Zea mays: one gene and its partners. The protein of the gene in region 1 binds, or shares a complex with, the protein of each later gene. Links are inferred from orthologs where the notes say so. Each region holds a gene or a part of one and is shown in the gene's direction. Other genes may lie near its edges.

The links.
Region 2: 50S ribosomal protein L13, chloroplastic-like (region 1) and 50S ribosomal protein L27, chloroplastic share a complex: the UniProt entries of both Arabidopsis thaliana proteins name them as parts of the 50S ribosomal subunit. The link is inferred for Zea mays from reciprocal best matches to the Arabidopsis thaliana genes emb1473 and RPL27.
Region 3: 50S ribosomal protein L13, chloroplastic-like (region 1) and 50S ribosomal protein L24, chloroplastic-like share a complex: the UniProt entries of both Arabidopsis thaliana proteins name them as parts of the 50S ribosomal subunit. The link is inferred for Zea mays from reciprocal best matches to the Arabidopsis thaliana genes emb1473 and RPL24.
Region 4: 50S ribosomal protein L13, chloroplastic-like (region 1) and 50S ribosomal protein L15, chloroplastic-like precursor share a complex: the UniProt entries of both Arabidopsis thaliana proteins name them as parts of the 50S ribosomal subunit. The link is inferred for Zea mays from reciprocal best matches to the Arabidopsis thaliana genes emb1473 and RPL15.
Region 5: 50S ribosomal protein L13, chloroplastic-like (region 1) and 50S ribosomal protein L9 share a complex: the UniProt entries of both Arabidopsis thaliana proteins name them as parts of the 50S ribosomal subunit. The link is inferred for Zea mays from reciprocal best matches to the Arabidopsis thaliana genes emb1473 and RPL9.
Region 6: 50S ribosomal protein L13, chloroplastic-like (region 1) and 50S ribosomal protein L1, chloroplastic-like share a complex: the UniProt entries of both Arabidopsis thaliana proteins name them as parts of the 50S ribosomal subunit. The link is inferred for Zea mays from reciprocal best matches to the Arabidopsis thaliana genes emb1473 and EMB3126.

Annotation. Positions count from the first base shown.
Region 1 is NC_050098.1:202,897,226-202,902,114, forward strand, and holds 50S ribosomal protein L13, chloroplastic-like, read left to right. Parts: upstream 1-1,703; 5' UTR 1,704-1,809; coding exon 1,810-2,034; intron 2,035-2,517; coding exon 2,518-2,703; intron 2,704-3,269; coding exon 3,270-3,440; intron 3,441-4,223; coding exon 4,224-4,340; 3' UTR 4,341-4,627; downstream 4,628-4,889. Other genes in the region: uncharacterized protein LOC100285659, read left to right, coding at 58-213, 365-641, 748-1,004.
Region 2 is NC_050103.1:167,359,985-167,364,344, reverse strand, and holds 50S ribosomal protein L27, chloroplastic, read left to right. Parts: upstream 1-1,631; 5' UTR 1,632-1,693; coding exon 1,694-1,987; intron 1,988-2,828; coding exon 2,829-2,930; intron 2,931-3,039; coding exon 3,040-3,216; 3' UTR 3,217-3,344; downstream 3,345-4,360.
Region 3 is NC_050100.1:50,135,318-50,140,500, reverse strand, and holds 50S ribosomal protein L24, chloroplastic-like, read left to right. Parts: upstream 1-2,052; 5' UTR 2,053-2,109; coding exon 2,110-2,238; intron 2,239-3,674; coding exon 3,675-3,713; intron 3,714-3,801; coding exon 3,802-4,029; intron 4,030-4,164; coding exon 4,165-4,347; 3' UTR 4,348-4,533; downstream 4,534-5,183. Other genes in the region: beta-glucosidase 25-like, read right to left, coding at 1-30, 109-175, 245-361. UniProt on the Arabidopsis thaliana protein: One of two assembly initiator proteins, it binds directly to the 5'-end of the 23S rRNA, where it nucleates assembly of the 50S subunit. Required for optimal plastid performance in terms of photosynthesis and growth.
Region 4 is NC_050096.1:27,446,590-27,451,198, forward strand, and holds 50S ribosomal protein L15, chloroplastic-like precursor, read left to right. Parts: upstream 1-1,909; 5' UTR 1,910-1,910; coding exon 1,911-2,340; intron 2,341-2,601; coding exon 2,602-2,753; intron 2,754-3,341; coding exon 3,342-3,563; 3' UTR 3,564-3,648; downstream 3,649-4,609.
Region 5 is NC_050100.1:222,784,897-222,789,848, reverse strand, and holds 50S ribosomal protein L9, read left to right. Parts: upstream 1-1,518; 5' UTR 1,519-1,590; coding exon 1,591-1,734; intron 1,735-2,260; coding exon 2,261-2,388; intron 2,389-2,701; coding exon 2,702-2,747; intron 2,748-2,993; coding exon 2,994-3,091; intron 3,092-3,271; coding exon 3,272-3,319; intron 3,320-3,412; coding exon 3,413-3,533; 3' UTR 3,534-3,590; intron 3,591-3,676; 3' UTR 3,677-3,901; downstream 3,902-4,952. Other genes in the region: Chaperone protein dnaJ A7A, chloroplastic, read left to right, coding at 1-4, 823-868; methyltransferase WBSCR22, read right to left, coding at 4,293-4,457. UniProt on the Arabidopsis thaliana protein: Binds to the 23S rRNA.
Region 6 is NC_050101.1:154,264,813-154,269,641, forward strand, and holds the start of 50S ribosomal protein L1, chloroplastic-like, read left to right. Parts: upstream 1-1,654; 5' UTR 1,655-1,709; coding exon 1,710-2,036; intron 2,037-2,136; coding exon 2,137-2,316; intron 2,317-2,403; coding exon 2,404-2,458; intron 2,459-3,017; coding exon 3,018-3,145; intron 3,146-3,491; coding exon 3,492-3,575; intron 3,576-4,829. UniProt on the Arabidopsis thaliana protein: This protein binds directly to 23S ribosomal RNA.

The DNA of each region.
Region 1 (4,889 bases):
CAGAGTAAGCCATCATTTGATGATTATACAAGTTCGCATGGTCTTATGTTAAAGCAGGTTTGCTATGTTGCTTTCTGGGATGAAGTGACACTAGCAGCTCAGGAAGCTGAAGGAAAGGTAATTGGTGATGATAGCATGATAGGAAGGTGGCGGATCATTGTTGTCAGGAGCCTCCCTTTTGTAGATCAACGATTAAATGGGAAGATACCAAAGGTAGAAATCTTAAGATGTCATAATCTATCCTCTGTACCAATTTGTCATGATAGAAATTCTCATTCTCACTTTCCTAAGCCTGATATTTTATTTTTAGGATTGGGAAACAAAGTGTGTTCAGATACTAAATCACTTAACATGATTTTTGCAGATGTTGACTCATCGCCTTTTCACAGAGGCAAGGTACTCTATATGGGTTGACTCTAAATACCAATTACGAAGAGATCCTATAGGAATGCTTGAAGCTCTTCTTTGGAGGACAAACTCTACATTTGCTATCTCTGAACATGGAGCACGGAGTAACATATATGATGAGGGGAAAGCTATTGTTCAAAAGCACAAGGCTACCCCTGAAGAGGTAGAGGTACAATTGACTCGGTATCGTCAAGATGGAATGCCGGACACAAAAAGATTGCACGGACTGAAAGGTCAGTCTGTTAATCTTTCTCAAACAATTGTTCTTTTGCTCCTGTGGAATATCTCTGTATATGTTTTCCGAACTGTTATAATGAATTTACCCGTTTGATTTTTCAGCTCTAGCCGAAGCCTCTGTTATTGTGAGGGAACTCACCCCTGCAACGAACCATTTCATGTGTGCTTGGTTTAATGAAGTGGTTCGCTTCACATCTCGTGATCAGCTCAGTTTTCCATACGTTTTGTGGCGGCTAAACATGCATGGATTGAGCATGTTTCCTGTATGCACTCGCAGGGATCTTGTGAATAGTTTGGGTCACACAAGGAAAGTAAAACCTCTTACACAGACAAATTCAGGGTCTTCTACTACTTCGTAACCTTCCTCCCAGTTCATTTGCTGGTAGCCAACTAACCATTGATTTACATATGGTTCTAATCGTCGATACTCGACATCTCTGGTTCACAATTTTGTTGTTGTATATTATCATCTTTGCGTTCTTCCTGCGAGGGAATCCTGGATCTGAACCAGAAACACGTTAAGCTGTTGCTTCACTGCAACGCAATCACACGATGTTGCCACTATATATGTAAAAGATATGCTTTCTTTGGTTAGAAGAGAATGAACACTTTTCTGCCTCCTTTCCGTTTCCTGATGGAACATGTGAAAATGGTGTCCGTTATCAATTAATTCGGCTTCTGCTGCTGATGGTTGTCGCGGAAACTAGCAGCAATGGAAGTTCTGTTCCCGTCATTTTATTTGGACTCGAGAATTTCTCTGATTACCGATGTTTCTAATTGGTACTTGAACAGCGGAATCGTTTGAAAAAAATATGGTCCTGTCTGAAGCTATATTTTGTTAATGCAGCTCCCTTTGCCCAATAGTAATACATTGAATTTCTTTTTTTTAGATGGAATTATGGAACCGCCATTATTCTGAGTTTGGGAAGAGTTTCAAAGGAAGCGTTTAAATCTCAGATGAGCTGATAAGGTGTCGTAATGGGCCAAATCTGCATTTCGTTCTGAGCCCATGAAGCCCATATGTTCTTGTTAACCTTTCCCTGTTCTTTGTCTCCTATCCCCTTATCCGCTTGACGCTCCCCACTGCGCCTAAAAATGGCCGCGTCCCACTGAACCAACCGTCTGCACATCCTCCTCCTGTTGCCGCTCGCTCGCCGTGCCGCAATGGCTACGGCCGTCGCCTCCCATACGTTGCTCTCCTCCGCCTTCGCCCCGCGCCACTACCACCGCCGCCTGACCCGGACCGCGTCCGTGGGGCCGCGCCGGGCCGCCCCGGTGGGACTGGCCGTGCGGTGCGAGAAGAGCGACAAGCAGAAGAGGCAGCCGCTCGCCGCGCTCGTGCCCCGCGAGCAGCGCTTCATGTTCGAGGGAGACGAGCTCTGCGGCCCCGTACGACGCTCTCTCTTCCTCTCTTGAAACAATGTGCACATTTTCACAGCTCGTTTTGCAGGATTGTAACCCTGGACTGACAGTGTCCATCCTATTTTGTTCATGTTTCACCGTGGCCATCTTAATCCACCTCAGAGGCTTCGACTATCCTTTTATGTGCATGATGAAGGGCAATCAAGTTACAATAGAACTGCGTACATTATATATGTTATCTGCCATGTGCCATCATATCCAAAATTACCCATGGGCTGTTTGTGGTGAGAGAGAATTCATTAAAAATGAGCTTAATTGGACATGCAAGTCAAAGTGAACTGATGGTTGCCAACCAGCCTGTTCATAATTGTGACTTGTTTAGGATCAGTTACTAATACTATGGGTACAAAGTGAATGGTTTGTTTGTACTATGCCTTGTTCTTTCTTCTAATGAATTACTCCACAAGTAATTGTGTCTACTGAAATCTGATTCAGTGATTTAATTTGCAGGACATATGGAATACAACCTGGTATCCTAAGGCTGCAGATCATGTAACTACCGAGAAGACATGGTATGTTGTTGATGCAACAGACAAGATCCTAGGCAGGCTAGCATCCACCATTGCAGTACATATCAGGGGAAAGAATGAACCCACTTACACTCCTAGTGTAGACATGGGAGCTTTTGTTATTGTGGTAAGCGTTCTCTCAATACCTATAGTGTTTGGAATCCCTACAGTTAACAGGTAGCCAGCTAACAAATTGTTAGCTGGGTTGAGCCAGCTAATGAACTAATTGTTAACTGTGAGTTAGCTAACAATTAGTTGTGGGTGTTTGGAACCTGTATAGCTAATTTTAGCAGCTAACTATTAGCTGTAGAGGTTCCAAACAGGGCCTTAGTATACATGCTTTACTTCCCTCAGATTATTTGGTACTGAGGTGAGTAACCTTCCTCAAATAATCTTCAACTGTAGTTGTGTTTAATGTTTATGTTAGCATAGTCCTTTTGTGACTGGTGCATCTCTAAAGGCTCATTACCACGTATTCCCTCAGTTCCAAGTTATAAGACTTTTTGGATTTTTTTTGGATCCATTACTTTTGCTACGCACTTAGACATAATTCATGTCCAGATATTTAGTAACAACTATGTATCTAGAATTACCAAAACATCTTATAATTTGGAACAGATGGAGTAGATGATATGCATTATTGTGTTACACTACAATGCTGAGAGTCATTAACAACCTTTTCTATTCACATAGGTCAATGCAGATAAGGTTGCTGTTTCTGGTAAAAAGCGGTCACAAAAGCTTTATAGGAGGCACTCCGGAAGGCCTGGAGGGATGAAAGAAGAAACTTTTGACCAACTTCAGAAAAGAATTCCAGAGAGAATCATTGAACATGCGGTTCGTGGCATGCTCCCCAAGGGAAGGGTAAGAAAAAACATCTACTAGCTGATTGCCTCAGGTCTACATGTTCTCTTTCTCGTTTTAGTGCGCATGTTATAATGTATGCCAAATATGAAAATGACAACCAAATTTCCTGGTGACCTTTATTTTAAGGTCCCAAAAATTACAATTTGGTATTAGTTAGCAGATGTGAATTTTTTCTTTTGAGATTGAGAACTACTATAGTTAATGGTGAGGCCTTGTTCGGTTATTTCAATTCCATGTGGATTGGTGTGTTGGGATGGATTGGGATGGATTTTGACTTGCTATGGATTTAAACCGACTCAATACCACTCAATCCACATGGATTAACGGCGAAACGAACAAGCCCTGAAGTGTATTGCAGTCAGAACATTGCTCATGCATCAGCATGTACCTCCCAGTGAAAGCGTGACATTCAGAATAAATCACAGTACTAAATTCAAGGGAATGTTGTTATTGAACAAAATTAACAAGTCCAGATTGAATTAGTTAATTATCTTGCCGATCTTTTTTTTTCTAAGTTCGCAAAGGTGTGTTGCATGAACTCCATAAAAATTGCCTATTAACCTTTTTCTTGCAAATTGCTTCTTAGTTCAATTGTTTGGTAGTATGGATGCGTTTACTGAAACTCACATTATGGCAGGCAAATATCTTGTTATCTGAAGCATCCCCCCTAACCATTCCATTTTTCTTGTTGATGGCAAATTTGATTTAACTTAGTTTTGTTATGTGCTATATACTTGTTATATTTACATTTATATGCTCACCTTTTTTGCCAATTTGCAGCTGGGAAGAAGATTATTTACCCACCTCAAGGTATACAAAGGGACAGAACATCCGCACGAGGCTCAAAAACCTGTCCCACTCCCGATCAGGGATAAAAGAATACAAAAAACTGGATAGAGAATTCATCGACTGAAAAGGATGCAGTGGCGAATTCCTCCCCAGAAGGTTTTGCCCTTTGTTTGGAATGCTATCCTCATAACCATGCCTCTGATCGGGGAGGGGGGGGGGGGGAGTATAAATCCTCTTTGTAATTTTGATGTTTACCAATGCATGAAATTCAGTCAAATTTCTGTCAATGAGTAGTCATGTAATATGGTACGGTTTAAATCAACCTAAAATCTTTATTTTCCAGTTGAAGTTTGTAATTTTGACCTCGTATGGTATGAAGTGGCAGATTGTTTCAATGTTCGGCCTGCCATCTGGATATACGAAATTGATCGACAGTTTTCATAACCAATTTTCTTGGGTGGCGAGGTGTGATATTTTCTTCTGAGTTTGTAGAATAGACATGTGCTTCCTCATGTGACCTATATCTTTTGGTAAAATTGTTGTGGATGTAACTGAATGCTGGAATGCGTGGGAATAAACATGGAAACATAAAATAAAATACCACACATACAGGTGACGGTTGGTGCCTTATGCAATATTTTAAGGTAAAACGCAATC
Region 2 (4,360 bases), on another chromosome or scaffold:
GTTAAGAAAACTAAACTCGGTTAGGAATTCAAAACGATGGTTTGAGTCAAGTCTCGGTGCCGGGGCCGGGGAGAAAACAACTAGTAGAGCGCAACAACCGAACTAGCATGCATTGGCGTGCATTACAAAATTGTGTGAGACTGAGTGACTGACGCACCGTTGCCGACACACACACCAAACCCGGAGGAGGCTGGAGCAACGGCAGTTCCAGAAGAAAAAAAGGTACCAAAACCTGTCACTCATGGGGAAGGGATCACATTCACATTCACATTCACCAATCACCATCATGGCCGGTCGGTCGCGGCGTCTCTCTCTCTCTCTCTCAATCCTTCTCTTTTTTTACAGTCACGGCTGATATGATCTTGGGTTTTATCTAACCCTCCCCATCATTCTCGTTTAGACCCAGCCTGCCTGCTTGCTTGGCCTTTTCGTGTCCTTTTCAGTTCCAAACTATTCACCGTGCAGTGGCAAAGATCGATATGGACTAACATTTTACAACCGCAAGCACGCTATAATTTGTCACAAATAAACAAGAGTGGGAAAAAGATAGAGGAAATGCGTTGTGTCGGTCGGGTCCGGCCGGGGTGGGGTGCGGGTGTGGGTGTCGCCGGCGAATCGTCAGACGAGGCAATGATCGCCGGCGGTCAATGTCATCTCTCCGTCCCCCTGCTGACGGTGCGTGCGGTGCGGTGACTGCTGCTAGTACAAGTAGTAGCAGCAGCCTGTGAGCGCCGTGCGCTGCTGCCTCTTTGAAATTTCTGGCATCCCTAGTGCCGCCGGAAATCTAACGCACACGGAGACGGAGGAGTAAACAGTGCAAACTGCAGCGAGTGAGCGGATGGAGCGTCTGGACTCTGGAGAACACGAGATTATTAGTGGGTGGTGGTGGTGGTGGTAGGGCCCTGTTTGCTTGTGTGGTCTGGTCTGGGCCATGATTAACTTGGACCCCCAAACGCTCTGCATCTCCCGCGCTTTCGTCAAGGATCCTAATCATGCCATGTGTCGGTCGTCTCCTCTTCTTCCGGCTCCAGCTTTGCCGTTGCCGCCGGTCAAGCCCATCATCATGCCTACTGCTTCTCTTGCTCTTGCTCTTGCTCCACAACAAGCCTGCCTGTCACTCTAGCTAGCTTCCCCGGCTATCTCCCCACGTGCCGACGCTAGCTAGCTGTGGCCATTCAGCGTCTCTCTGTGCAGCTCCGGAGGGAGGAACAAGATGATGCCCTTTTGGTTCACATATCATGTTTGTTTAACTCTAACTGAGCCTATTCAGACTTATTATCGTTGGTACTTGAATGTGAATCATTATCGTTACCACTTACGTTACATATCATGAACCAAACACCACCACACTGATCATTTTGTTTTCCCCCTGAATGATTCCTTCGTGAATCCTGTGTTGCCTTGCCTAAAACTACAAGGACCAAAACCGGCCAGGAGCATAACACCATTTCCCTCCCTTCCAATTCGGCCAGACACTCTGCAAGCACCACGAGGCCCATCTGCAAGTAAGGCCCAAAAACTCCAGGACCCAAAACACTGGGCCAACCACGAACGAGCCCACGTCTCCCGACTGCATCCCTTCTCCACTCCGTTATCACCAGCGCCCACACCTCTGTACCTCACCGCCTCATCTGCTCTCTTCCCCCGTCTTCTTCCCAAGCTGCCACGTTGCCTCCCTCCGCTCCAGCGGCCCATGGCCTCCATGGCGTTCGCCCTGGCGGGGGCCTTCAAGGGCCTCTCCCTGGCGCCCACCACCACCACCTCCTCCTTCCCGCGCTGCGACCGCGCCTCGCTCTCCGTCGGCGGCGCAGCGGGCGTGCCGGTGCCGGTGCCGGCGCGGCGGCTCACCATCCAGATGGCGCACAAGAAGGGGGCCGGGAGCACCAAGAACGGCCGCGACTCCAAGGGCCAGCGCCTCGGGGTCAAGATATACGGCGACCAGCTCGCCAAGCCCGGGGCCATCATCATCCGCCAGCGCGGCACCAGGGTCCTGCCCCCCTCTTGCTCCCTTCGCTTCCCTTACCTGTTACTGGTTTGCTTTGGGTTAGTAAGACAGCCTAGGCTCTTGCTTGCGTGGATTATGGTACCTCGTTGACTGGCTCTGCTGGGCGACATAGCTCTCTCTGCCTAGCGTTTGCTTGCTGCTCACCTGCTGCTGCTGCTGCTGATGCAGGTTAAGCATATTAACCACCGACCAGTACCTTCATACGGATTACGGACTGCGAATGCTAGAATCTTACGATGTACCTAGAATGCTTGCCATTGCACATGTTACGTTGGAATGTATGCTGCCATTGTGCATATCTGCATTTTCCATAGTTTACCACTCTGCAAAAGCAGGAAAGAAAAGATTGCAGTTTCTTGCATACATCAGATAACGGGAGGGGAAAGTGCACACACAAACCTCGCTGGGGAATGTAACGTACTAACCTCAATGCCCTATGGAGCCAACTGGTGGTGACTTAGGGGGGTGTTTGTTTGGGATTATAATCTGCCCAGGTTATATAATCCAACAAATTTTGAACTAAACACCCACCTTACTCTGCACACATGGTCAGACATAGCTGTTCAATATTAGGCATACTGTAAGATGGTCGGTCAATCCTTGTAAAAGATATTTCATGAACTTACATGTCTTACGATTTGGTTGGTCCGTCCTACTTACCAGCGCGCTTCAAATATTTAAGATGTTTATATATTATGGATACTACATGGTTTATACCATCGTGTCCCTTGTATAGAGTTCGTTTTGGTCCCCGTTTTGTGGTCTGTCTGTTCCTTGCCGTTTTTAAGTTTTTTCTTAAAATAAAATCTTTTGGACATTTCAGGTCTATCCTGGAAATAACGTTGGAATGGGCAAGGATCACACACTCTTTTCTTTGATAGATGGACTCGTCAAGTTTGAGAAGTATGGGCCGGACAAGAAAAAGGTTAGCTGTATCTTAGTTACTACATACTGAAATCTGCTTTTACTTGCATCTGACTGAGATCTGGTTGCACACCAGATATATGCTCATCTCACTACCTCTCCTTTCATAGGTTAGTGTTTACCCATATGAGAAGGAGCCTGAAAACCCAAACAGTTACAGAGCAAGGAAGAGAGAGTACTTCCGCATGCGGCGTGAACGGAAGAAGGCGAGAGCGGAGGGCGCCGCTGAGCCTCAGTTGGTACTAGCTGCTGTTGATGAAAACTCTGAGGTCAGCGCGGACTGCTGATAAGTTTCCTGTGTGGTGTTTCTCTTTTTCACAGCCCTTGTTACACTTTTTCTTCCTTAATTGTAAGACCACATGATCTATAAAGGTCATATTTACATGTGTTGTTTAGATAAATGGATATGTTCTACTTGTACTTTTTGTGGGGTAGTTGTGCTTTAGAGTCACAGTGGGGGTCTATTCCAACTTCCTAGACCACTCCACGTAGGGCGTGTTTGGTTCGGCTTTTTTCTGAATAGCTTTTCTGAAAAGCTGGTGGTTAGAATTTAGGTGTTTGGTTCGCCAGCTGTGCGGAAAAGCTGTTCGTTAGAATCTAGGTGTTTGGATACACAGATTCTCAGATTGCAGATTCTGTTTGAAGAAACTATACACATTAACACCGAACCAACAAAAGGTCATTACATATAATTAGTGGAGTTCATTACAACATAACTACTGTTACATTTACATATTTAACTACGGCACTAATGCATTAGCAATTGCATCTCGAAATGCACTCATGTCTAACTCATCAGATGTGATACTACTACTCTCACCTACAGATACATCATGACCAAGGCTATTAGGTCCTAGTTCATCAAAGTCTCTATCGTGTAGAGCACTGTCTCTAATGAAGTTATGCAATGTCATACATGCAATAATTATCTTGGATTTTTTCTTAAGCGAAAATGAAGGGAGACTTAACAGAATTCTCCACTTCATTTTAAGCACACCAAAAGATCGCTCTATAACATTGCATAGCGACGAGTGTGCATAGTTGAATACTTCTTTGCTCCTAATAGGTTGCCTCGCATTTTGTCATTCTGCAATGTGATACTTCTGAGCCTTATAAGGTGCAAGGTACCCCTTTCTATTTGGATAACCTGAATCCATAAGATAGTATTTACCTGCACAAACAGAATTATACAGTTCAATACTTAAGACATAAATGAATATCGTATCATACAAAAGTACAACATACTTATTTACCTTCCGGTGGATGGGGGAACCTGTCCGCATAAGTTATACTTATTTACCTTCCGGTGGATGGGGGAACCTGTCCGCATAAGTTATCAAAGTATCTTGTAATACTCTAGTGTCATGTACTGAATCTGGCCAACCTGTGACAACAAATGTGAACCTCATATCGAAGTCACAAACGGCCATT
Region 3 (5,183 bases), on another chromosome or scaffold:
CATCTGCATTGCTGAAATCTATCACCCGTCCTGCAGAGTAAATGCTAACTTAGTCACAATTCTGGACATATTAGTATATTATTACTCCACTTTTCGATAAAGCCTCACCGGGTCGTCTTGTGAGAGTATCCCATATTGTAGGTCCACGTTGACCCTCGTTGACAGCACCTTCATACTGATAACATATTGATCAGAATCAAACATCAAACTAAGAGCACATCGGATGAAATGAAAGAGGCCATACCTGGTAAGCTGAAGAAGCAGTGCCAAAGACGAAACCTTGAGGGAAGTCTGCTCTCCTTAGAGCTTCAGCACAAGCAGCGAAGCTGATAAGGATATTAACCAGTGTCAGAACAGCCATGGCGTATCCTTCAGTTGGTAGCACTAACTCATAGTGTTTTTAGTCTAAGAATAAGTACTAGATAGGATCATATGACATATATATAAACCTTGTTCAGTTGGTGAAGCGTGGGAAGCAACTGAACGCTGAGCTAGTGAGCTTCACTTGTCTTGGAAGCCCTTCCAACGTGCGTCTCTACTAAGTAACTCTTGTGGAGGCCACAAGGTGCAAAATCTCTATCACAGTGGGCAAATTAATCAACAACCGAAGGAAACTACTTGACATGTCTAGCTCCGAAACCTGTGAAAAAAAATGGTCCACATCTGGAGTGTCGCAAGCAAGTAGAGCTTTGCCCAGACAGATTGAGTTTTGCCCAGCACTCCAGCATCCATGCCTTAAAAGGTTATAGTTAGAAAGGGGGAGGATTGCTAAGCCCTTGCCAGTTAGCCACATAGAGAGAAGGCCTTATTATTAGATCATGCCATTTCTTTTCTTACAAAATTAACAAAGTGCAAAGCATTACTATGGCCACGAGGAACAGATAGCTACGAAATGAAACTGTCGCAATTATCATGGAAAAAAGCCACACATTTCCTTATCCATTTTGTTTGGTAGCGCCACATAGAAACAAAACTTCATGTCACGATTTGCATAGTTATCTCAACACATGTGGCGAATAGAAAAGGAGAAAGAGAAAAATAAACACAAGATTCTTAACCATAATAAGATATAATTTGTGTCGGGCATTTGCATAGTCACATGCTTATCCCATGGGGAACGTTAAAGGTTTGCTTGCACGGCAGGACCATTCCTGATTCCCTAGATGGTAGTTAGATGACGGCGATAGGAGCCGAGGCCCAACTGCCCAGTGATGTATTGGCCGTGTTGTTTATGTGATCTGTCATGGATGTCCTACTATGATTCAAGGATTTAGGACATGCGCAGAACTGCCAGCAATGAAAAGTCGAAGAAAGAGATATTGACTTCGAGGGGGAGAAATGTAGTCCACTATGAGAAAAGAGATACCCAATGTCTCTGGAGAAAAAGATCTGAGGTAAACACGTCTAACTTGCAACCATGATTTGCAATAGAGAAATCCGATTGACATCCCACCCTTTCTCGGTGCAGGATGGGACCTGCAGCAGCAAAAGCGCAAAGCTTCGATGTCACCGCCATCCACCTACCCTCCATCGCCCAAACTGTCTCTGTCTCTGTAACGCGAATTTTATTTTACACAACAGCAAAGTGAAAAACTGGAGTAGGGGGTTCGCTTGCCTCAGCAACCGTCGCGTAGCTTGCGCGCCTCGGCGCTGGAACGGGGAATCTGGAGGCGGGCACGCATCTCCCAAGCAATCTCGCGTGGCCTCGCGTAGCGTGCGAGGAGACACGCAGAGAGGGAGGGAGAGAGAAAGAGAGCCTTGACCCCGCCGTCCTCGTCCTGTCGTCCTGATAGCTGATGCAGTGATGCTGATCAGCTGATGCGTGCGGAGCTCGCTCGTGGAGCCGAGGCCCTAGCCTGTAGCCTCTCACGGCGGTAGAACGAGCACCCATGGGCCTCACTGGATCACCTAAGCGTCTTCCAGGCCCATCTGTGCCTCACCTGAGGCCTGTCTCATTTAGTGACGAGGCCCAACCCACCAGCGTCAGAATACAAGAGCGCGTTATCCTCTCTCTTCCGGTTCCGGGCAACTCGAAGAAGCCGCGTGCGTTATCCTTTGAGCAGTTTGGGCGCTGAGCAAGTCCAGTGAGAGAGGGAGAGCGGCGAGAGGATGGCTGGGATGGCATCGCTGCAGGGCGCCATGGCGTCGCTCTCCATCTCCGCGCTAGGCGCGGCGACGGCGAGCAGCAGCAGCTTCTGGGGCAACCGGCTCGCCACCTACTCCGCGCCGCAGCCTGGGGTCTGTTCCTGCTTCCCAATTCCGTTCCGTTCTGCTGATGGTTTGGTAGATAATAAGTAGCTGTTCTGGTGAAAGATTTTACTCTGGAGTTTCTGGATAGCGTTGCAAAGCGCGGTCGGATGGAATTGTTCTAGGGACATTCGAGCTTGCATTACGGTTTTGGAGCTAGTCTGTATGGATTGGATGCAATGAAATGGAAAATTACCTTTGCATTGTTATTAATTGTGCATTTTCAAGGATGACAAACCAGGCTTCTAATATGACTATGTTTAGGGGTGTTTGACATCACTCTAGAGCAAAACTTTAAGGAAGACCTGGACAAAGTCAACTAAACACCCTAATTCTAGAGTTGCAAACTCTATAGAGTTTTGAGAGTTGTAGTATAATTTTTTGGAGTACATTTTTTGCTACTTTGAAAAATCCTTCAAAAACAATCAAGACACATCCAATGCACTGGTTATGAGAAAGCAATCTACACTTCGGAGCAGATATACTTCACCCAAAGTTTTGGAGTAGAACTATGCCAAACTCGCCCTTATTAGATTTCATATTACATTAAGTTTCTATTTGCTCCACGACACACACTAAATTTAGACCGTGTCCATATTGAATTTCGTCTACCTTCTTTTTTTATTTTTATCTTGCATGGAAGCTTAAATGGTAAGATTTGAGTGCGCCAAATAGATTAACTGATTGGGATTAATTTAAGTAAGAGAATTTCCTTTGTCATTGGTAATCCGGTATTGTCCTTTTTGCATATACAACTATGCACATGTTTGCCTTTTAGTGCTAATAGAGAGTATGCTGTGTTTCATGTGGTAAAATTTGTTCGAGTACTCTTTATTTAGTTTGTTAACTGAGGAAATTATGTTGCTTTTGAAGCGGTCAAAATGTCAACTGAAGAAATTATGTTGCCCTCAATGTGCCACTGATTTTGTTTATATATATTTATGCCTGAATTACCCCACATCACACAATACATATGACTAACTGGAAACAAAATTTGGCGCCAAATAGTGTATTATGAGCATAATGATGTTTGTATTTGAACCCTGCTTTCTTTTCTGTGTCATCTTTATTATGCCTTACCTGTATGTACTTGTGCCTGGAAAATTCCCAACTGATAAGAATCGGATGAGGATAAACCTTTCTGTTAAGAAGCAAAAGCAAGTAAAGAATAGATAGTGAGGTCAAGTAATCACTGTTGAAGGAAGTGATAGAACCACTGTATTTTAAGGGATATCGTATTACTCAAACATAAAGAGGAGCCCTGGATCCTGTAGTGTCTTGATCAGATCAACATGAATCGTAACCACTGTGTTTGAGTCATGCCATATCTCAGAAGCATCTGATTAGTGTCTCTTTGATTTGAAATGGAATCTTATGTCTTTAGGATGTGAAGTTCTGACAAGCTGTTTAATATGTTCAATATGCAGGTAAGGTTTATGGTCAAGATATGCCCAATTGAAATGAGAGTGAGTAAAAAAAATCTTTAGTCCAAATATTTGATACCTTTTTTATCCAATAATGTGAAATGTCCTAAAACTTCACTTTCCACTGCAGCTTAAGAGATGGGAGCGAAAGAAGTGTAAACCAAACAGTCTTCCTGTGCTGCACAAGATGCATGTTAGGATCGGGGACACGGTACAGGTTATTGCAGGCCGTGAGAAAGGAAAGGTTGGAGAAGTCACACGCCTTTTCAAGCACAACAGCACGGTGATCGTGAAGGACCTGAACTTGAAGTCGAAGCACAAGAAAGGCACAGACGATGAACCCGGTGAAATCGTCATGGTCAGCAAAATTTCTATTGAACTTGTTTTTTGGGCCTCTCATGATGCTTTGCACATATTGGTTTCAAGAGCATATCTGTAGTTTTAGTAGGTGCCTAATCGTTCTCTTGATCAGACTTAAATTTTCTTTGATCAGATTGAAGGCCCCATTCATAGCTCAAATGTGATGCTCTACTCTAAGGAGAAGAGTGTGGTAAGCAGGGTTGGCCACAAATTCCTGGAGGACGGGACCAAGGTCCGATACCTGGTCAAGACCGGTGAAGTAATCGACAGTGTTGAGAAGTGGGTAAAGGTTTTTAAGGAAGGAAATTCGGAGTAACAGTTTTAGCATGAAAACCTGCAAAATGCTCTGAACGCTGACTGCGTCTTGCATGTTGAATTGAGCCTGTTTATCCCTCTATGTTGTTATTTACGCCAGTTTTTCCCCCTGTAAATTATACAGTTGTCACCAAATCTTGCAACGCAAGTCAATGCGCATCAGCATATGCTGATCTTGTTCCGCTTCACCAGTCAGAGTTTTGGATGAAAAACTATGAGGGCATGTTCGGTTACAGTAATCCAGAGGGGGATTGGAGGGGATTAAATCCCCTCCTAGTCATTTTTGACTAGGAGAGGATTTAATCCCCTCCAATCCCCCTCTGGATTGGTGTAACCGAACAAGCCCTGAACGGGCTTGTATGTGCGGGCAGCCCGTGTTCGTTTGCAGCTCTGGACCCACTACTCTCGGTCTCGTCCTCACTTCCTCAGAAATATCCACATATATCATTTCCTATATTACAAAGGCATATTACAAAGGCGAAGTAACCTGTGCACATGAAGCAATAGTGCACATATAACATCTCAGTCTCTAATCTTCGATCAAACGGTTGCATCTCCCAACTCCGCATTTTATTAGAAAACACCCTCCACCTCTCCTGAATCCCTCTGAATCTTTGATGAACCCCCCAAGCTCCCTGTGCGCCAGAAACAACTATGATCCTTATTTCTGGCCGCCGCCCCATGTATTCTGGTCGCCGCTTCCACTTCGTTCCCTGGCCACCGCTTCCACCTCATTCCATGGCCACCGCTTCCACCGCTCGTCCTCGCCTGCGTCGTCGTTTCCTGCTTGTGGCCTGCGGCGATCGGCATCAGTGGAGCCGAGCCGTTCCTCCAGAG
Region 4 (4,609 bases), on another chromosome or scaffold:
TTCATCATACAACAAGATTAAATTCAAGGTACAATGCAAATGATGACTTCAAGGTAAAAAATACAAAGCCAGTCATCTCTGTCATTTCTTCCTCTCCTCACAGGTTCGCTTCAACCATGCAAGCTTTCCTTGTGGAGTCTTAAGAGTGGTAAACACATCTCGATACTCCGTATTGATAAAGTGTTATGTGGCATAAAATTGTTCATCGCTTCCTTCACATGCCCTAGCCTCAATAGTTGACTCTAACATTTCAGCTATCTCTTGTCTAACATAATCATTAGGCAGAGAAGCTGGAGAGGACTTGCTTGAACTAGCCTTTTCCACAAATGAATCTCACAGATTGCAAAGCATTAGATTTAAAACTTCCTATCATGTTAGTCCATCTAGATAAGATGAATTTCTAGATGATATCAATATAAATCACACTAGGGGAGATCATTCATCTAACTCGAAGCAGGATGCACAATTTAGCATTATGATTAAGGTAGAATCATAAGTATGAGCAGCTATCAGGGCAATTCCATGATATATATTTAAAACTCAAAACACTAAATACTAATCAAAGCACCAGTTAAGATACCAATTAAAAGTACTCACTAAGGTACCCATTTTTGTGAACCATGAAGGTGACAAGTCTCAATTACACCCTTGTAGCTTGCTCAATCCTCCTATCCACCTTGAGATTATGTAAGATCACTAAAGAAAACATTAGTCTCAAATAACACAAGATATGTGTGCTCCCCTCAAATTCTGCATCAAGTACTTGAATACAAGGTTACAATAAGCGCTAGGCGTTAGGCGGGCGTTAGGCCACTGTTTAGCGCCTAGAGAGCTTAGGCGTAGATTAATCGTGCTTAAGCGTTTGTAGGAATATACAATATAATATATATATTTGCACAGAAAAAACAGTTTTAGCTAGGAATTAGGGGTACTTACCTGGAATAATGAATAAAAGTATAGAACAGAAGAGATGGAGGAGCAGAGCAAGAGCAGAGGGAGAGGGAGAGCACGCCTGGATAGCTAGGGAAAAGGAGCAGAGAGGCGCTGACCCCGGTGGCCTGGACGACTTGACCAGAAGGAGAAGAGGAACCGACGGTGGCGGCCCTGGACAGCTGGGGAAGAGGACCAGTCTGGCAGCGGCCCTGTTTTCCTCCTCTTCCATGCAACAGCAGCTGCAGCTCCCAGCCTGTTTCACTCTCTCCCGGGCAACAGCAGCTCCCACCTCTTTCCCTCCTATTCACTTTCTATTCCCGCGCAGCAGCTTTTTTCTATTCCCGCGCAGCAGCTTCCGTGCTCACCTTTTCCCCGCGCGCCGAACCCCGCTTCCACACGCCTCCTTTCCGCCTCAGCGCGCATAGCGCAAATCACGCGCCGCCTACACGCGCCCACCGCGGAAACCACCGCCTAGGGCCTAAGCGCAGCGCTAACATGCCGCTTAGCGTCTAATCGTGATTAGGCGGGCGCTTAATCGCGCTTTTTTGAACATTGCTTGAATAACTTATTCTACCCACATTCTAGCAATTAAGGATGTGTTTGGTTGCCGGACAGAGTTTTTTGCTTAAGTTTGTGCATATTGCAAATCTTTTTGAAAAGATGTGAAAAAGGTATGGTTCTATCCCTTACTCAATTATTTTAGTTGCTAACTATGTTTGTCTAAGCGTTAGAGAATATAATGTATCAAAGTTTTGATATAGTTCTATCTTCTATTCAGAAAAATACCGATTTTTTCTTCTTTATATACAACTTTCGAGTATATTATTATTATTGACATGAATGGGCCACGGCTGTTTGAAAAACAGGCCCAAATAAAGAGTGGAAGAGGCCCATCGTCTCCATCTTATCTCGTTCCCAAACCCCAATTATCCGCTTCTATCCACAATCGCAATTCGCAAGCCCTTCCAACGGCAGTCATGGCTTCCATCACCCTCCTCTCCCTCGCTCCCACCGCCATCTTCCTCCACATCCCGGCTTTCACCTCCTCCTCCGTCGTTGGTCCCGGAATCCTAGCCGGCCGCTGGGCCGCGCCCCGCGCCCTCCCGCTCCGCGCGCTCCCGCCCCGTCGCGTCACCGTCGTCTGCAGCAGCGCCGCGGCGGCAGCCGAGGCCTCGGACGCCGCAGCGCCAGTGGAGAAGTTCCGGCTCGACAATTTGGGGCCCCAGAAGGGGTCCCGCCGGCGGCCCAAGCGTAAGGGACGCGGTATTGCTGCAGGCCAGGGCGCGAGCTGCGGGTTCGGTATGCGCGGGCAGAAATCGCGCTCGGGGCCCGGCGTCCGGCGCGGGTTCGAGGGAGGGCAGATGCCGCTCTACCGCCGTCTCCCCAAGCTACGGGGCATTGCCGGCGGTGAGTTGCTTCAGTTAAACCGAAGCTTCCCCTAATGCACTCAATCGAAGCAACTCGCTAAGCTCTAGTTCAGACAGATGCTTGTCTCACACCCCCACTTCGGCATTGCCCATCCGTGATTAAATTCACACCAGGCTGGCGCATAACTAATTGAACTATGCATTGTGTTGTTACTCGTGAGAGCCCATCAAGGTTACAAGGAATGCAGAAATGCAAGTGATTGAGAAGTTGCCTGATGTGAGTTCCACCATGGCTTTTCAGGGATGCACATTGGCCTGCCGAAGTATGTGCCATTCAATTTAAAAGACATAGTGCGCGGCGGATTCAAAGATGGTGACGAAATATCACTGGAAAGCCTGAAATCACGGGGTCTGATCAATCCATCAGGCAGGGAAAGGAAGCTGCCGCTGAAGGTAAATCTTTTGATGATTAACCTTTGGTTGTTTCAATAAAACTTGTTTTGTGGACTGGTATTTGTGACATAGAACTTGACACGTTCGAAAATATGAATGACTTCATATTCAAGGGTTTGGCTTAGGTCTTGGCCAGTGAGGACATGTTCTCTTTAAGGCAACCTTATTGTACCCCAGATTTGAAGCAAGAATCGAAGTGTTTAGTGATTTGTCGTTAGATTGAGTGGCCAGTATTCTTACTTTTTTACTTCTTATAGGTTGTTGTATCGATTCTGAATTAGCCTGTGATAATGTTAGGTACCAAGTTTATCCACTTGAGTTAGAGTCATCTATTAGAACATGCAATACGGGATCGAGTTTTTTTGGTTGTTTCTGTTAGATGAGCACCACTTGAAGTGTTGAATAGCTTTGTTTGTACAATTTGGCAATGTTCCCATAGGTTGTTCATTGGATTTACAATATATTCTAGAGTAACTACAAACTTCCATATCTGCTAACATAAACATGAAGTGGCATGTGCCACCTGTTAGTTTTTGCAATCATATTTTGTCTTACCTTCATGATCACTTGTTGTTCACCTGTTTGTAGATCTTAGGAGATGGGGATGTATCAGTTAAGTTGAATATCAAGGCTGGAGCGTTTTCAGCTTCAGCTAAAGAGAAGCTTGAGGCAGCTGGTTGTTCCCTAACTCTGTTACCTAAACGAAAGAAATGGCTTCCACAAAATTATCTAAAGAACCAAGCCCGAGCAGAAGAGTACTTTGCCAAGAAAAAAGCTGGTGCTGGTGAATCTGATAGCGGCTCTGCATAGAATTTCTTTGCGATGTACTCTTCTCTTGCTTTTAGCATATGCTTATTACTGAGCAAGACACACCGGCTCAACTAAAAATGTTCATAACTTCTTCATCCAAACTCTGACTTCGATGATATTAGACATTTCGGAAATTTTATTTAAAGGGCTACGATAGCCACTTTAATAATTGATTCAGAACAAAATGGACTAATCCAGAATTCAAATCCAAAGACACAACCCTTGGTTAGGAGAATATCGAAAACCTTTTTTTACAAAGAAAGTTAACTCCAAATGATTTCCCACGTGATGATCAACACCTTTAAGACTTAGTTAGCATTTTCAAAGGTTTTTTATCTCAAACTTTATCCACCACTTGATCCTAGCAACATATGCAAAGTTAGATCACTCAAGTGGCTCTAGATGACAGATATGGAAACAATGTTGACTATCTTAATAGTACGACCATCTATTTTAAACCAGATTATGCACAATTCTACACAACCTTTGATTGGTGAAATGAGATGCTCTGCAAGTAATACATTTCCCTTGTACATTCTATTTCATCTCCCGAAACAATGACACAACACAAGCATCGACCTCTATCATCAAATGTGAACATTGATCATTCATCGGTGTAGCGAATCACGCTACATTTGATCATAGCACACTGGATGAAGTTCCTCCACAATGCTTCAACAAAAGCATGTAACTAGTTGTTTCTAATTTCCACGTCAACGCACCATGCTGCTTTTAGGACTAGTTTGGAAACTTAAATCCCCTCAGGATTCCTGAGGAATGAGGGGGAAATTAAGCTATATAGAGGGGAAACTTAAATCCCTTCAACAAAAGCATGTAACTAGTATTCTAAGAGGGGATTTAAGTTTCCAAACTGGCCCTTATATGTATCAACAAATGGAAAAATGATCCATGCCACTGATGAGAAGAATTCCAGGCACATGGATCATTCCTTGCTCATGAATTGTGTGTGAGAGGACAACATACGAGTGCTTGACGCGGCCATGGCACAAATTTTGTGGCAGAAAGTTAGCATTCGTTGCTTAGTG
Region 5 (4,952 bases), on another chromosome or scaffold:
CTGGGTAACTTCTTTGATTTGATTTCACTACAATGCCAAAAATCACGTGATAATTATGTCTGTTCATCCTGCTGAAAAATAGGTTTTGTATTGTCTCTTTTTCTTAACTAAAGGGTAATGAGGTAACACCGCGCTGAAAAAAAAATCATTACATTGAGCATATAGGTTTTGTACTATACTTCCCTGTTCTGGACTTCTGGTGGTATAAAGTATAAACTACCTAGTTGTTTATGGCAGCCGTTACATTTTCACGTACTCCTTTATTAAAAGGGAAAATTACAAATTAAGTTTCTTAAAATCTGAACGCCTTTCTCTTCACGCCTGCATTTTAAATTATCCAGCCTGCGGCCGTGGCTTCACGCGTGTTGGCTGATGTATCTCTGAATATTACTGTTCACCGATCGCTGTTGAACGACTTATCACTTTACCTGTTCTTTCACGCACTTCGAAACTGGCGCAGCGGAGCGCCCCGTCCGGTCTAGTGTAGTAAATAGTAATGGGAAGTTGAATGCAGATGCCTCTTTTATTGAAATCTGAACCAACCCAACTTAATCTTGTAGTAATGAACTATATTTTTGGTCACTGCATTACATTTCCGAGTATTCTTTAAAAGGGGAAATTACACTGTAGTAATGGGAGATTTGAATGCAGATGCATAACCTCTGTTGAAATTTGAGCCATCCTAACTGTGTTAGTTGTGTTCGAGAAAAATAAAAGGTTGGCTGAGTTCGAGAGGAAAAAATGTTGATTGATTTAGTTCATCAGACATTTTTGTGATTGGGTTATCTCTTGTATTCTGACCTAGATGTTGAATTCTTTCAGGTCCATTGTTAATGGCGCTGCGAAGTGGCTGAACGACAACCTGTAGGCTGTAAATATTTACTGCAGGATAGAAGATTGTCTTACATGGTGCTGTAGTCCAATCAAAGTTCTTAGATTCATTGGGGGTCCCCACGAGCTCGTATATTCGTTTTATTGGAGAGCTGCAAGATTTTCAGGCTGAGTGGCAACCGAGGGAGTGAAAGTTGTCAACTAATATCGTCGCGGCGTTGGTCCCTTGTCATTCTTGCCAAGCAATTATTTTTATGTAGTTGGAGTCCTTTTCAGTCTGGCAAGCGGCGTAGAAGTCTGAAGCTGTGGGATGCTGATCCCAAACCCCGGGACTAGACAAACACTGTACTTGAGGTTTTGGATTAATCAAATTCACCGATATCGAATTGCAAACTTATCCAACTTACAAGATGCGATGGAACTATTTATTAGAAATACGTTTCGGTGATATCGAATTCTCAGTTTCGAGAAAGGGCTATCACGCCGGCAGTTCACGCGGCTGGATCCGGGCACGGCGACCGCGCAGGCTCCCGCCATGGACGCAGCGCGACAGGCGAGAGAAGCTGTGAAACGGGCTCTACGGAGCCGTGACATTATCCATTCCAGATCGATTGGGCCGCCGCCGCCGCTTTCTCATTTCCGGGCCCAAACCATTATTTAGGCCTCTCGCGAAGTCAGTGGATGGATAAGAAAGGAAAGCGGTGCGAGCGGAGGAGGCGACCGAAGCGCCACTTGCTTGAGTAGCGAAGCGCGAGAGCAATGGCGTCGCTGTCGTGCGCCTCCACGCTGCCCTGGACCCCCGCCTCCTACCCGCGGCCCTCGGCGGGGCGCTGCCTCACGGCCTCTCGCCGGGCTCCGTCGCTGGTCATCGTCGCCCAGGGGAAGGTCAAGAAGTACCGCCAGGTCGGCCCGGGCTTTCCGCGTGTTCTTATGTTCGAGTTCTGTGCTGATTTCATCTTAGCAATCAGTTAATGCACGCGGGTTGCTGAGGGCATCATAACCTGCCGCGTTTTAGTTTTCTTCTCTAAAAAAATTGATGCACCGCCGTCGGTACGTTTGTATATTGTGATCAATAGATACAAATGAAGTTAGCTAGCTTAGCTGTCTCACTGGCAACAGGTAAGATATAGTGGCTCGCACAATTTAGATGCTCCAAGAGTTGTACTACTACTACTACTAACCAGGCTTTTAGGCAGGGGATTTAGATACTAGGGATGAAATACCTTTGATGGGAGCCTTGCCTCACTAGTTGGAGTTCAGTTCATAAGTCGTTCCTTTTGCTGTGTTTGCCTGATTGTACAAGAATGCAACAACGGTGCATCCAGTTAAATTGACAATGTGGTGCTTATCTTGTGTAGCTATTACCGCCACCCTTAGCATTACATGTGATTTTACCTTTCTCCATAAAAAAAACAATTCTTTCCCATAGGTCATATTGACAGACGACATAGAAGAGGTGGGGAAGAAAGGGGATACACTGAAGGTGCGAGCTGGATTCTACCGCAACTTCCTCCTTCCCAAGGGCAAGGCTACACTTCTGACCCCAGAAGTCCTCAAGTAATTGCTACCAGCTCTCGGTTATCCCTCACTTGCTTTGCTTTGTTAGTTATGTCATTTAATCCTCAAGTAATTGCAAAGTCCACACTCTGTCAAATGATTCAGTGGCTGCTGGCAACCGTATGACCTTCTCTGTGGTATGCTTAGTTTGACTCTGAGGTTTGGGACCTAGGCACCTAGCAAAACTAGATTGAGATATGAATCCAATCCATGCACCTTTCTAATAGAATTGCAATGGTCGACACACATACTGTTTGATTCGATGGGTAAGTAAGATTGCGAATGAATTTATTGCCTCTACTTCTCTTCGCAGGGAAATGCAGCTGGAGCAGGAGAGAATAGAAGCTGAGAAGAAGCGGGTAGGAAAAAATATTTTACTCAGTAATAAATGTAGTTGCAATTTAACCTCAGCGACCTTTTTCTTTGTCTGGAGAGTAAACTTCAATTGCAGTTTATCCTTACTTTCCTTATGAAAAGAAAATATAGTGCCTTTATGTCCTCCGTAATTTAAGTCCTAAGCATGATATGTTCATGAAATTCTATCAATGCATTTTTATCAGTTTTTGTTTATAATTATGGCCTTAAGAAGTCCTCTATTTACATAGGTAAAAGAAGACGCGCAACAACTTGCTCGAGTTTTTGAAACCATTGGCGCTTTCAAACTCCCTCGCAAAGGTGGAAAAGGAAAACAGATCTTTGGGAGGCAAGTTCTAAGTTGGACAATCCATTATTTATTCTCTCTTGTCTCAGGCTATCTCTTACAGCTTACCCATCTCCATCTCTCATTTCAAACTCTACTTTGTACACACTGCAATCTATAGTGTCACTATCTGCTGGGTATAGTCTTACTTTCACTTTTCTGACGATATCTTTTATTGTACAGTGTCACGGCACAGGATGTTGTTGACATAATAAAGTCACAACTTAATAGGCAAGTGCATATGCTCCTAACTCCTAGGCAATCTTAATAGCGTTTCTCATCATTATATTGCTTCTCTTACTGCTGGCACGCTGTGTCTTGTAGGGATGTCGACAAGAAGCTGGTGACGGTTCCAGAAATCCGTGAAATCGGAGAGTATGTTGCAGAGATCAAGCTTCACCCAGACGTGACAGCGCGAGTAAGGCTGAATGTCTATGCGAAATGAGCTCAGCAGTTACAGAACCTCGAGTAATGGACTTTGGAGAAGCCTGATGTTTGCCAGGCGAGCTCATTTGCCGTTGTTCTTTCCTTGAGATTTGGCTCTTAGAATTCCGCTGGTCTTGCTCTTACACAGTTGCTTTTGTTTAGTGCAGAGATTTTGCTGCAAGTGCCAGGTGCTGCGGTAGACATGAGGCCTGGTCTGGCCGTGACTTGCCTGGTTTTGATACACAATTCACTGGCTCACTGCGCATCCTATTCCCTACCGTGTGAAGTCAAGTTTTCAACAATTATATCTGTTGATTTTGAGGCGGAAAATATAAATTGTTGTAAAGAACAATTTGTTTGAACTGTAGAGCACTACTTCGCCAAAAACGACCCTTCTTTCTTGTCCTCTAACCTTCCCCACCTCTACGTCTGCATCCACTACAAAAAAAAGGCAAGAAATTTGCTAAGTATGGGGCTCCATAGAGCGTTATTCAGATTGGAACACCAACGTACTTGACACATGAACTGCGTTTCTTTTAGCCAAAGTCTGGGCGTCACCAGCGATCTGATACAGATTCACGCAAACCAACTGTATTCATCTCAACATCCACGTTCTACAAAAATGACAGTTTCACATCGTTGTCTAAAAATGCAATGACTCCCGAATACCAGTACAACTCCTCGCTTCACCCTTTACAAAAATCCTTCTGCTTCTGCTAAATGAACTAGCATCATAACTGAACAGCCAGCATTGCAGGCAAGGGGGCATTGCACAGAGCTAGAAATAGCCTTTCCGCTTACGCCCGGTGTACTTCGTGTCGGCGGGCACATCATGTCCTCTTCTTCTCATCTGCTCCTTTTTCCTCAGGAGCCAATCCTTGCCTTTGCCATTCTTTTTCGTTTTCTGCCGCTTCTTCGGCCTATTCCTTTCATATATTCCCACCTGCATTTCAAGATAAATTTTCATCCAGTGCTGGCATAATACTGATACACATCCACAATCATACGGTAAGAGCATAAGATATGGGAGTAAAAAACAAGAAACTATGACACTGCAAAGATTCGTGATCAAGCATAAAGAGTCAGTATTTAACTACTGCATCCAAGACAACGGCAGTGTCCATACTTTATAGCATTGCTGCATTAGACGACTACTAATTAGTATGTGCACAAAAAAAAGCAACCTAGCCATTTGTTTTAAGGATCTCCATCATATAATATTTGAAATTTCCTATTCACAGATGGCTATATAATCATGTAATGAAATCCAGTGGAGCTAGTTCTGCAGAAAGCACTTATGAGTAAAACCAAATTGCTTCAATCTGAGATTCATTCGTAAAAACTGATACTTACTAAAAAGGTGAAGTGTGATTACAAGCGCAAACAAATCAAGAAATGTAGACAGAAAAAAATCAGATAACGTCAAAACAGTAATAAG
Region 6 (4,829 bases), on another chromosome or scaffold:
CTTGTGGAGATTTCTCGCAAACGGGAAAAAGAGACAAGGAAGAAAAATCGTGGTATTCAAGTTGATCATTAGATCACTTGAAAGGGGTTGAGTGCAACCCTCGTTCATTGGGACGCCACAACGTGGAAGTAAGCAAGTATTACTTGGCCGAACCACGAGATAAAAATCACGTGTCTCTTATGTGCTTTCTTTTTGATTGTCTGTGTTCGCAAGAGCTCGTTTCAAGCTACTTAGCCGTTCTAACTTTAACAACTAAGTTTTGTGGCTATTAGTGTTGAATTTTACAGGATCACCTATTCACCCCTTTCTAGGTGCTCTCAATATTGCTACAGTTTTTGTATATCATATATGTTGCATTTCCTTAAATTATATATATATATATTCAAACATGATTATATTTTTTTTTTAAATTATAGTGTATAGATATATATAATCTCTCCTTTATGTACCACAAATGGATGTGTGCCATAGTGGTAGGAGCCCTGCCGCGTTGGACGGACACGGGCGCTCACGCGTAGAGGTGGTAATGGATCACGATCCAAATGCCTCTTCACAAAAGTTAAGGCCCTTAAATAATATTAGTTCAAAAATGAATAAGAATAGAGCCCGACCCTAATCCGATTCGATCCTTAAAATTTGCAGTATAAAGTTTATAGCCCATTACCACCCCTACTCACGCGTGAGAGACACATGGCGACGCACAAAGAAAATTCTATATTAAAAGTGTAGTGATATATGAGATAATTTTCTCTCTCTCCCTCTACATGGTGGCAGCAGGGGAAAAAGTTGGAGCTCCTGCACTTTCTAAAGTTCATTGTATGTATGTGGAGTGGTGTGCCATTGAAACAACCTAAAGTCTGATTACAAAGTGAGAAAACCACATGTTATGGTCACACTACCAATGTATTACAACATAGGCCTCAGAACTATAGGAGGAATTGACGGTGGAGGCACGAGTGAAGGGGAGAGGGCGACGGGGACGCGAGGGAGGGAGAGGTTGGAGGCGACAGATTGTGGGAAAGGGAAGGGTGACATGACAAATGATAGATGATCTAGATAATATTGTTCATCATTGAATTTGAGTAAGGGTGATAGAGTTATCCAGCTATCTGAATTTGTTTGGTGGATAATCTAAATAATATAGTAGTATAGATATAGAGTAGAGTCAAGGGCCACACACAAACAGTTCGCAGTCGCAGGCTGGCAGCCACAGCCACACATGCGTCCCTCGTCGCTGCCGCTCGAACCCACACGCGAACCGCGACCACACACCTGTCCGGCTGCCTCGCGCGCATCCGCATGGCTCTCGGTCCTCGGGGCTGAGCCAAATCAGGAGCTCCGAACACCTGCGCGCGTCTCGGCCCAGCCAACTCGCCGTGTTTCTCCTTACCCGTCGCCCGCGCGGACACGACACGATCGCACACTCGTACACCCGCTCGTCCCAACTCCCAACCAAGATCAGGCAGGTGACCGGGCGTCTCGGTTGAGCCAAAATCACTGGAATCAGGGGGGAGGAGTTTTCCAGGCGCGGCGCCCGTCATCCCTGCCCCTGCGAGGCTGCGACCGCGAGCCCGCCCACGACCAGCCCTATCCGATGAACACCCAGGCCGAGATCTTTCGGCTATAACCAACCCGCGCTGCCACTTCGGCTTCTCTTTCTATCCCTCCACTCCCTCTTATCTGCTGCGCCATCCTCCCCGGCCTCCACCATGGCCACAGCCGCCGCGGCCACCGCCTCCTCCTCCCTCCTCGCGCCGGCGGCCAGCAGCACGGCGCCGGCCTCGTCAAACGCGCTGCTGTTCCCCTCCTCCGTGCCGTCGCTGCGTGCGTACCCGCGGCTCCTCCTCGCGTTCCGCCGCCCCGCCGCGGCCGCCATCGCCGACCCGCAGGGGGCCGTGCTCGAAGAGGAGGCGGAGGTCGACCAGCAGGGCCAGTACGACGACGACGACGGGTATGAGGGCGGGCGCGGCCCCGCGTTCACGGCCCCCACGCGCCCGCGCACCGGCAAGGCCGCGCTACTGCTTAAGCGCGACCGCGTACGCATATCGCCGAATACCCCACCCTCCGTATATGGTTCCTGTGGCTTGCTTGCTTGTGTACGGCCGGTGATGCTGTGCTAGTTTTGATGGTGCGCAGACGAGGTCGAAGAGGTTCCTCGAGATACAGAAGCTGAGGGAGAGCAAGAAGGACTACGACGTGCCCACCGCCATCTCGTTGATGAAGCAGATGTCCAGTGCCAAGTTTGTTGAGTCAGCGGAGGCGCACTTCCGCATGAATCTCGACCCCAAGTACAATGACCAGCAGCTCCGGGCCACGGTATTGTTTCTTCTTTTCTGGCCTTCTCTTTTTGGTTGCTTGTGCCCTGTTGCGTTCGTTAATTTGTGCTGGTCGTGGTGACCACAGGTGAATTTGCCCAAGGGAACAGGCCAGTCGGTGAAGATTGCGGTTCTCACACAAGGTGGGCGGTGATTGAAACACAACGAAATCCTGTTGAGCGATAGTTAGTACAAACTGAATTCACTGTGCTAGTGGGTCATATGTGTGATTGTTCTGTTTGACACTATTGCCTTGCCTCATGTGTGACTATGGGTTTAATCTGAAACACGCTTGTCTTTATTTTTATGCAAACATTGTGTGCTGATGACCCGATTGGTTAATTTTGTATTTTTTTTCTTCTTAAAGTACCATGGCTTCTTTCAGAGTTCAAATGCAACATATTGGATTGGACAAAGTTAATTCATCTTTGGCATCTTGGTAGAAGAATTTAACAATCAGTTTATTATGTTCATGATGTTTCTACTTCTTTGTTTTTTACAAGAAGTCACTTGGGAGTTGGGATGGTGCTATTTTTGTGCTGTCCACTTAGCAAACCCTTGTTGAATGACTGAAACTTCTCTTTCATATCCTTTGTGAAAGATAGTCATGTTTTTCTTGTCATTATCATAAAGATGGTAGCACCAGTAGTTGAAATAATCATGGTCATTATATGCATTAATAGTTATTTTCTGACCTCACAGGTGAGAAGATAGATGAAGCTAGAGCTGCCGGAGCTGATATCGTAGGTGGAGAAGATTTGATTGAACAAATAAAAGGAGGATTTATGGAGTTTGACAAATTGATTGCATCACCTGATATGATGCCTAAGGTATGAGCTATTAACAGTTCTGCCTTCATTTCAATTTACTGTTGGATACTACCACAAAATTTGAAATGAAATATTTAGTTGTGCTTACTATAGGTCCTAAGTGTCTTACCATGTAAACTGTTAATTTTTTTGTTTTCTATAGATAAAATAGATTGGCTATGCCAATCTAATTTCGGAATACAAGAATACATGTGTGAGATGTTTCATTCTTTGATAACTAATGCTAAACTAAATGTCCAAAGTTCTGTATATATTTGTTGCATTATTTGACATGTTCGTAGAAACTTTCAATGTGGGCTCCCCTTTAAATGATTATCAGCCTGAGTTATTTCTGTTTACTTTTCAGGTTGCGGGCTTAGGTAAGATTCTAGGACCAAGAGGACTGATGCCTAACCCCAAAGCTGGCACTGTTTCTTCAAATATTACTCAGGTATTGAGGAAGTCAATACAGATTTTGTTTGCCTCAGTTTTTTTATCGATATTCTAAATCGTTTGTCTTCATTGCTTAGTCTGGGCACTGTGACAAGATTTAAAACTTCATGCCCTTGTAGTATTTACTGACTTCTAGGATTCATGTACAAGTAACTTCCTACCTTTATCAGTTGCATTTACTTTCCTGTACTCCGATAATTCAAGGTTCAGGCATGGTGTTTTTATTGAACACATGTTTGTAATTTAATTGTGCATAGCAAGAGTTCAGGAAGTTGAAATAGTTGGTTTTACTGATCGCCGAGGAAACTAGATGAGACACATGTTGGAAGATATGAAGCGTTATCAGTGGTAATAATATGAGTAAACTACACTGGCGGTCCCTAAACTATTATGTAATTCTCATTTGGGTCCCAAGCTATGAAATTGCATATCTAGGTCCCTAAACTATATAAGTATCATATCTTGATCCAAAATAACCACATCACAGTCCATCAACTGACGTGGCACTCCAGCGTGAAGCTGACATATGGGTCCATAGTTCATAGTTACAAGGGCTGTCTAAACTATCATAGGATTCTCAGCTAGGTCCCAAACTATAAAACTACTCATCTAGGTCCCTAACCTATTAAAGTACTACAATCCTAATCCAAATTTTATAGTTTGAGACTTTTGTAAGAATCCAATGATAGTTTAGGTATCATCCTTGTAATTATGAGTTATGGACATGCATGTCGGTTCCACGCTAGAGTGCAATGTTAGCTAATGAACTGTGATGTGACTGTTTTGCACCGGGATGGGATACTTAAATAGTTTAGGGACCTAGATATGCAATTTCATAGTTTGGGGATCTAAATGAGAATCGTGCGGTAGGTTAGGGACTAGTGTAATTTACTCTAATAATATTATGAAATCCCGATTCACCCTAGATAACAACATAAAGCATTGACAATAATAACTAGCAAAAGTAGTGAGGCAGTTGATTCAGGGATATGACTTAAAATTTGGTCCAGTTTCATAGTTCAGATTATTTTATTTAGAAGTAAGGGTGGAAGTACCAAAAACTCAAAATGGACTAAGGACTACTGACATGTATGTTGTTATTCATTTGGAAGATGTGTTGAGTTTCACTTTTATATTAAGTATGTGAAAAGATATAGCTTTGAATAGGAGTGCATGGAAAATACCTATTCATGTGTCCAAACCTTGACTTATGTGTTTTGTTGGGTTTTAACTCTACTACTCTAGCCTACCC